2 linked regions of the Kluyveromyces lactis genome follow. Each later gene encodes a partner of the first gene's protein in a complex. Links are inferred from orthologs where the notes say so. Each region holds a gene or a part of one and is shown on either strand. Other genes may lie near its edges.

Region 1 (4,459 bases):
AAATGGTCAACATTTAGTTCTTCTTGCAAGCTAGAATGCCAAGCGATTTTTGATACGTTGCTGAAAGATAGACAAAAGTTGGTACTTGAAGGAAGGCCATTCATACTTCTCGCATTTTTAAATAACCCAGAATTTCAGGTCCTAGAGAGACATCCCACTGTTGCTCGTAAGGTTTTGAAGGTTATTTCAACTACCAACTGGCTCAAGGTTTTCACAGAAAATCTCGGAAGTAACAATAGATATGTCATTTTGCAAACCCTGCTTGAGTTGGAAAAGTATTTCAGCACAACCATTCACAGAAAACATGTCGACGTTGTAACAAAACATGACGATTCGTCGCACCTGTCCACGTTATTGGGGGCATTGCTTGATTCCACTTACAAATTTAGAAATAGAGATCTCAAAATTTGTCAAATAGCAGCATCATGTATTAGCCTGATAGGACTATTAGATGTTACCAAGCATGCTCTACCCAGGAATACTAATCTATCTGAAGAAATTTGTGACTTTAATAATCATTCCCAAACAGTCAAATTTTTAATCAGTATTGTAAACAACATTTTAGTACCCGCATTCTGGCAAAGTGAAAACCCCACAAAACAACTATTCGTTGCATTGGTGATGCAAGAATCTCTGAAGTATTGTGGGCTCAGTTCAGTTAATTGGGATATTAACAGACCCGATGATTATCCTGTAGAAGCTAAATTATGGTCCAGGTTTAATGATATCTCTAAGACCACTTTGTTTCCATTACTATCGTCGCTCTATCTTGCCCAGTCGTGGAAAGAATATGTTCCCTTGAGTTATCCTTCGTTTAAAGTGAAAGATGGCTACCAAGTGTGGATACGCAACCTTACTTTGGACTTGCTTAAGATAGGTACAGAGGAAGATCATCCGCTTCACGTTTTTTCTTCTTTGATCAGAGAAGATGATGGTACATTATCAAATTTCTTACTGCCATTCATCACGATGGATATCATTCTCAGAGCCAATAAACATAACGAGTATTCGAAAATCATCGAAAATCTCTCCATAGAGTTCGAGTTCATTTTCAATTTCGATCTTCAGCAACTAAATCACTTTCAGATAGACTCGCTCAAGATGGCTTACAATACCATTTTCAGGGTTTATGAATACTGTAAAAAATGGGTTAGTAGTTTCAAGCAAGACTATCAAGCAGCCAACGGAACTTACATGATTCAGGAGGATAAAGTTTTGCAAGTTTTGGACCGAACTGAGAGATTCGTAAACACAATACCGTCAGACACCCTCGCCAAGAAATCGTTGGAAACAGATTCCTTTGAACGCTCAGCGCTTTACCTTGAGCAAAGTTATAGAGAACACGGAACCTCGTCTTTGGCGTCCACCGACTTATTGCAATGTATTCAGAACACATATGCCGAAATTGGGGATGTAGACGCTGTAGGTGGTGTGCTAAAGATGTTTTCTACTGGGAATTTAACCACAAAAATAGAAGAACTGCAATATTCAAAAAACTGGAAAATGGCTCAAGACTGTTTTGAAGCTCTTGGTGATTTTAAGCTATCAGCTAATTCTACCACTAGTTCAGAACTGGTTAAGTCATCAAATATGAAAATGTTAAAGTCAATGTATAGCCATCAACTATACGAAGAACTATTGATGAAGGTTAAAGTGCATCTTCCTGAGACGAAGGGATTCTTGGTCGATAATGACGGAGATTTGTTGAATATGGGTATTGAAGCTGTCAGTCAAACTGGTAACATTGTTGAGTTAACGAGGTGGATTGAAAGAGTGGAGCACATTCAAATGTTTAACGATCCCTCATTACTTTTGCATTATAATATTGCCAAGGTTTTGCAAGCTGTTAGTAGAAATCAGCAGCAAAATGTGGAGCGCTATATAAACAAATGTTTCACTCTTATTGGAGCCCAATTTACCATTCCATCTACTAGCACAACTTTGTTGAAGAATCGAGAAGTTTTGCAAAAGCTTCACGCACTTACAGATATCAAACTGCTGTGCAGCGCACATACTCAGTCTGAATTTTCAAATGCTTCGAAAGCATTAGATGGTAGGCTGTCGCACGTAGGTTCGGATTTTTCTCCAAATCATTATCTTTTGTCAATAAGGAAAACTGTAGAAATTATTTCAAAGAATCAGCATCTACAGAATGACATTTCGAATGTGTATTTCCAACTTTCTCAGCTTGATCGTAAAGAAAATCGTCTTGATTTGGCAGCAGAAGATTTGATGAATGCTTTGAAATATAACCACCATTCCGCGGAGCTTGAGTTTGCAGAAATTTTATGGAAACAAGGTGAAAAAGATATGGCCTTGAAAACTGTTGCAGAGATAACAAAACGATTTAAAGATGATCCTTCTACTGCTTCCTCCGAAAATCAAGATTTCAAGGAAGTGCTATTGAAGTATACGGAGTGGTTGGATTTGTCTAATAGCTCGGTTTCTGAGCAAATTATCAAGCAATACAACGAGCTTATTCGTTTTGATAAAAATTGGGACGCTCCATTTTACTCTATGGGTTTGTATTACAGTAAGCTTCTGGAGAAGAAAAAGGCTGAAGGATATGTTTCTGATGGCTCATTAGAATATAGATCAATCACAAACTTTTTGACCTCTTTCGAGAAAGGCTCTCCCAACATAAGACAATCCTTGCCAAAAGTTGTCACACTTTGGTTAGACACAGCTAAAAACGACGTGAATAATAGCATTTCTGATGTTAGTAATTATTCTTCAAGAATCTGCAACAAAATCGATACGGCAGTCAAAAATTGCGGTATACATATATGGTATACCGTTTTAACTCAACTTCTCTCCAGGTTAATGCATCCTCATACCGCGACAATACACACCATTGTTAACATATTATTTCATATGACGTTGGAATATCCTTCAGTGATGCTATGGTATATATCGATTTTGTTGAACTCAGAAAGCCTGGAAAGAAGGAATATAGGGAAACAAATAGTTGAAGCATTCCAGAAAAAAAACCCAAGGACTAAATTACCAGGAACAGCGATATCATTGGTGCAGTCATTGACCAGGGTATGTATAAAAGACGTTAAGAATACTGCTAGCAGATCAGGGAGATCAATAGATAGTGATTTCAAATTTAATCTAGAACTCGCGCCAAATGACATGTGTGTGCCCGTCAACATTAATTTAAAGAAGCTTTTACCATCCACAGCTACGAGCATGAACTCAGATCTATTCAAAAGTGTCATGGTTTCCATCGCCAGATTTTCATCCCAGTACATGGTATTTAACAGTTTGAAAAAACCGAAAAAGCTCACTGTGATCGGCTCTGATGGAAATATTTACGGCATCATGTGCAAAAAAGAGGATGTCAGACAGGATAATCAATATATGCAGTTTGCCAACACAATGAGTTTCCTGTTGAGTAAAGATGTCGAGTCTAGAAAACGAAATTTAGGAATAACTACTTATGGTGTTCTCTCTTTACGTGAAGATTGTGGACTATTAGAAATAGTTCCTAACGTGGTTACGTTACGTTCGCTTTTGAGTATGAAATATGAAAGTATGAAGATAAAATACTCATTAAAATCATTACAGGAAAAATGGCAATCAATACCTTCGGACCAAAAGTTGGCGTTTCATAAGGACTGTTTGAAAAAGTTTCCACCAGTTTTATATCAGTGGTTTCTTGACAACTTCCCGGATCCAATCACATGGTATAACGCAAGAAATGGATTTGTCAGATCTTACTCTGTTATGGCAATGGTCGGCCATATATTGGGTCTCGGGGATAGACACTGTGAAAATATCCTTTTGGATGTCTTGACAGGAAGAGTCTTGCATGTTGATTTTGACTGTCTTTTCGAGAAGGGTAAAAAGCTTCCTGTTCCAGAAATTGTTCCATTCAGATTGACGCAAAATATTACTGACGCATTTGGTATTATTGGAACGGAGGGTACTTTCAAAAAGTCAAGTGAAGTTACTCTAAGAGTCATGAGAAACAATGAAATAGGTCTTGTAAACATAATTGAAACTATTATGTATGACAGGAAAATCGATGAGTCAATACAAAACGCCCTTAAAGTTCTTCGAGACAAAATTAGAGGCATTGATGCCCGTGATGGACTGGCTTTGAGTGTTAGTGGGCAAGTGGAAGCTCTCACTCAAGAATCATGTTCGGTGGAAAATCTAAGTAAAATGTATATCGGTTGGTTGCCTTTTTGGTAATTATTCCTTAAAATCTATGTTACAATTTTCTACAAAGTTTCTAGCGTGGAGGCAATGGAGGAGGAGGGCGTTTTTTCCGAACCTGTGCGTTGATTTCCGGGATCATGTTCTCTGCTTCCTCGAGAATATCTGAAGATGTGATGGAATGCGGATTCAGGTTTTCATTATTTGTAAATGAGTAGCTCATCTCATGTCTCCTATAAACATCTGGAGATGTCGGGGAGTAAGACCCAGATGTTGACCTGGCTCTTGTTCT
Region 2 (4,030 bases), about 1.2 Mb from region 1:
TTTTTCTTCAGAGTTAACTGATCTGATGGATAGTTTATGCAATAATTGGACCATTAAACCTGAGAAACGTTTGAAAGTTCTTGGAATTCGTACAGTAGGGTTTAACTCGATAAGAACGCCTCGACTGGTCTGAATATAAACTTGAAGTTTACCAGCCTTATTTACAGGAGAATCTAATAGGGTTAGAAGACATTGATGAGTAATGTCGGGTCTAGCTTCGCTTATATCTCTTCCCATTTTCTTCAACAAACCTTGATGATCATCACAATTCAACAAGACGTATTTATCCCCACCAGGACCGTTGGATGATATTTTATGTGTCTCTAAAGAAGCCTGGGATAGCACCACAATAAGTCTCTTGGTAACTTTGTCCTTCGATGTTAGCACTGGCGGAGCTTGAGGGACCAATGATGCCGGCAAGACTTTCTTCTCACCATTTTTCATGGCATCTCTGACCTTAGAATCTTCAACCATATTATCTTGATATTATTTCTTTTGTACTTATTATATTACTAAAATGTACCGTAATAAAGCTTATCCTCAGTCGATAACAAACCACAGGAGCTGGTACAACGATGCGGCAAGTAGTTAAAGTATGGTCTCTTCCAGTTATTCTGTAACTATTCCATTCGATGAGCATGAAGTGGTTAATAGAAAAAAAAAAATTCAAACAGTAAAAAGAAATTCCGTGCACCGCATGTCATAGCTTCCAAATGACAAGAGGGAAGGGATTTCAAGGCATGAAATCGCCATTCGATACATGCGTTCGTTGTAACATGGTAGAATGTAAATCAATTGCATCTCTGAGAGTGTGGGTCTTGTCCCATCTTTCGATTGAGTATTTTCAGTAAATTTATGACTAAACATTGAAATGTCATATTTACTGGGCAAAGAGAATACTCTATGTAGCGTCAATATAAATGATCTTTCTAGACCATTCATTTAAATGATTAACAATTTTAACCATAGCAATATCCTTCTGAAAGAAACTTTTCTTATTATGATTGTGAATATGACATTGATTGTTTCAATATGTTAATATAATCTTTTTTATATTTTACAACTCTATGCCAGCATTAAGTCAAATATCATTAATAAATATTGTAATACATTCAAAGAGTGTACAGAAAGAGATATAGAAGTTACGGGACTTTAATTCAGCGAGTATAAGGGCATTATAGCGACATGTTATCAGCGTTAATGGGGAATGAAGGTCAACAACAGTGAAACCAAGAAACTATGTATTTTTTTTCTCTTTCAGCTAATGCAGATCATCTGCATATTTGTTTACACCTTAAGACCACAGAATTTGATTTAACCTTTAACTGTTAATTCATGTCAAGAACATTACCATGAACGCGTCAAACAAAAACAAGAAAAACCAACCTAGGCCAATATGGCAGATTTATGGGATGATAATGACGATGACGATGATATCCTAGAACTAGTGAATAGACCTCCGATGAGCCAGATGGCGGTACCTATTAAACCGCCAGAATCACAAGCTGAACAGTTAATGAAAGCGAAGGGAGAAGTGGGAGTCTTGAGGCAGAAGCTGAGTATGCTCGAAAAGACTCTAAGGGAACATGATGATAATCAGAAAAAGCTGGAATCAAGTCTGAAAAGTTCTCATGAAGAGGAAGTTACGAAGCTTAAAATCGAATTGGAACGACTTGAAGATGAACGAAAGTTCATGTTACTGGAACAGAAACATTTATTTACCCCCAGAAATAGCAGCAAGTCTGAAACTACCCACGAAACTGAAACTGCTGAACCATCACCAATTGAAAATAAAAGAAGAAGGATGGAACCCGTTAAAGAATACGTTACATTGACTCAGAATTTCAAAGTAGACGATGGTTCCCTTTTCTATGATCATTTGCTGAATTTTAAACTACTTGGTTCTGAGCACACAGTTCTAGAAATGCTCGATCACATTTGTACTTATAAGACAGATCTTATTTTGAGCCCGGAACACAAAATAATTAAGGCCAGGTTGCCTCTTGGCCCTCCTATTAGATCGTTGATATTTAAATGGAAATCCATTTACACCCTCGATCAACTAGTTGATAAAACACTAGAGATCTTGGCTATTGCTATAAAATCAGTAAGTGTACTTCCGGAAAATAAACTTGCCATCCCTTTCCTCATATCTTTGATGCATTGTACAATCAATTTTAGACATAGTGCGACCAGTGTTAGTTCACTGAAGGATGTATTTCAATTCATTACAGATTTTATCATCTCTGATCCTAAATTTTTGAAACAGCCATTGCATGAGAGTCCTTTGGATTTAGACGTTTCTCCAGACGTGTTTCAATATTCAATGCTTGATCAATTATGCATGACTTATTCGTTCGATGTCCTAGAGACATGTATTGTAATATTGCTAAACTGTAATACGCGGGCACAGGAAATAGTATTGAATGACGCTACTATTGCAGAGAACCTCATAAAATGTTGCAATTTTACTTTATCAATTTCATATAAGCCAATAATGCCAATCATCGTCAACGTAACGGAAATATTACTCGGTATAGTTGAATTGGATGGTGCTGAAAACGTTTGGAAAGGCAAATGGGCAGTATTGTTCTCAAAATTAATTCAAAATTGGGAGAGATCACTTACTTTTGACTCTGTGTCACTCAACTTTGCGGGTTTAAATAGGTGCTGTGGCGATAACTCCAATCATTCAATGATAGATAATATTATAAGTCTCGAAGAAGTTCGATATTTACCCATGATTATAGAGAACGAGTTTGAACCTCTCACTTTCACAGCATTAGATAACCTAGAGTATTGGTCAATTCAGATACAAATTAATATTACATTAATAATGCATAAACTGCTTCATCGATACCGATCCACTCTATGTTCGTTGGAATTTCTACAAAAGACTTTTTCTCTTTTCAGTAGTCATCAAGAGTTATTACTTACTGTGTTCTTGGATAGGGACCATATCAGTGATATTAAGAGACAGGAATTGTTATCAGTTTTATTAAAATTGATATACTTCTGTTGGGTGTCGATAAGTGACGAGTATAAACGTGCCTTAAGGCTAGACGAACTGACAATCTGTCTATGGCGTATTGTATATGGGTGGCCTGAGTCGACAGATGAATTATCCACAGAATGGGCTGCCCTAATAAATCCATTGAAAGCATTGGCGTTAGAGGAAGAGAAGAAATACTTTGATGACGCTTATGATGAAGATAATTTACCAGCATTCATGCACTCCGAGGAATTGGACATAAAAAGGGAATCTGCAGTTTCAAAATTTAATAACAACAGCTCATGGCCATTGAGAGACATGGCTAAATATATTCTCGAAAGCATAACCACTATGGATGAAGCGGATTCATTGTATGTAGCCATGGTTAGTGAAACTTGAGAAAGACGGAAGCGAAGAGAGCTCAGTTACTGGCGTTCATGTGCATCGACTTACACTGATCAAAGTGATAAATATTAGCATATTCCAATTATTTCATAGGAATGAACTCTGAAAAGATTATATTGATGGTTTATTTAGAAGTACAATGCTTATACAAAGTAATGAGATAATAAAAAATATGTCTTCAACAACATGATAATCTCAAAGTTTAAGCGGATTGTGCCTTAGCTTCACCAGATTGGAAACCGTTCTTGAATCTTCTAGAAACGTGTTTCAAGTATCTCATTCTACCGGTACCAGTGGTTCTTCTTCTCTTAGCCTTGGCAGCCCAGTTGTGAGATCTCATCTTAGCAGCTGGGTAACCACAAGAAGAACAGGTGTGCTTTTGAATGTGGTAACTACTACGGCCACATCTCTTACATAGAGTGTGAGACTTGTTGTGGCGCTTACCGAAAGATGGAGTACCCTCTGTTTAAAAAATTTGACAATGCAAAAAAATCGTTAGTAAAACTGTTTCCTTAGAGTAAATCGAACTCTCCACATGAGCTAGGTAGGTGAAGTGTAATATGATGGTCATTATTACTTAGTTGAATCTGTCAAAAAATTTCATAGAAGGTAACATAAAACCTAACCTGATAT

What was found. The genes of interacting proteins can lie anywhere in the genome.
Region 2: the proteins of MEC1 (region 1) and LCD1 are in contact, whole or in part, in a cryo-EM structure (PDB 6Z2W), measured with the Saccharomyces cerevisiae proteins. The link is inferred for Kluyveromyces lactis from reciprocal best matches to the Saccharomyces cerevisiae genes MEC1 and LCD1. Residues at the interface, in NP_009694.3 of Saccharomyces cerevisiae: Ser24, Val26, Ile28, Asp67, Ser71, Glu82, Tyr83, Asn116, Tyr117, His118, Arg119, Trp121, Phe122, Arg125, Ala133, Glu136, Phe137, Tyr138, Gly139, Lys140, Lys143, Phe144, Leu165, Gly167, Lys168, Thr169, Glu170, Leu171, Tyr186, Tyr192; in NP_010787.3 of Saccharomyces cerevisiae: Lys187, Asn189, Met190, Val191, Pro192, Leu193, Asn194, Arg197, Ile199, Leu212, Gln214, Ile216, Tyr233, Gln308, Phe309, Arg310, Pro311, Asn345, Met346, Asn347, Leu348, His349, Val350, Glu351, Pro352, Ile354, Gln356, Tyr357, Glu373, Arg377.

Annotation. Positions count from the first base shown.
Region 1 is NC_006039.1:1,367,624-1,372,082, reverse strand, and holds the end of MEC1 (protein kinase MEC1), read left to right. Parts: coding exon 1-4,203; downstream 4,204-4,459. Other genes in the region: NVJ2 (Nvj2p), read right to left, coding at 4,244-4,459. UniProt on the Saccharomyces cerevisiae protein: Serine/threonine protein kinase which activates checkpoint signaling upon genotoxic stresses such as ionizing radiation (IR), ultraviolet light (UV), or DNA replication stalling, thereby acting as a DNA damage sensor.
Region 2 is NC_006039.1:149,278-153,307, reverse strand, and holds LCD1 (Lcd1p), read left to right. Parts: upstream 1-1,396; coding exon 1,397-3,391; downstream 3,392-4,030. Other genes in the region: EMG1 (18S rRNA pseudouridine methyltransferase), read right to left, coding at 1-474; RPL37A (60S ribosomal protein eL37), read right to left, coding at 3,600-3,859. UniProt on the Saccharomyces cerevisiae protein: Forms a complex with the serine/threonine kinase MEC1 which activates checkpoint signaling upon genotoxic stresses.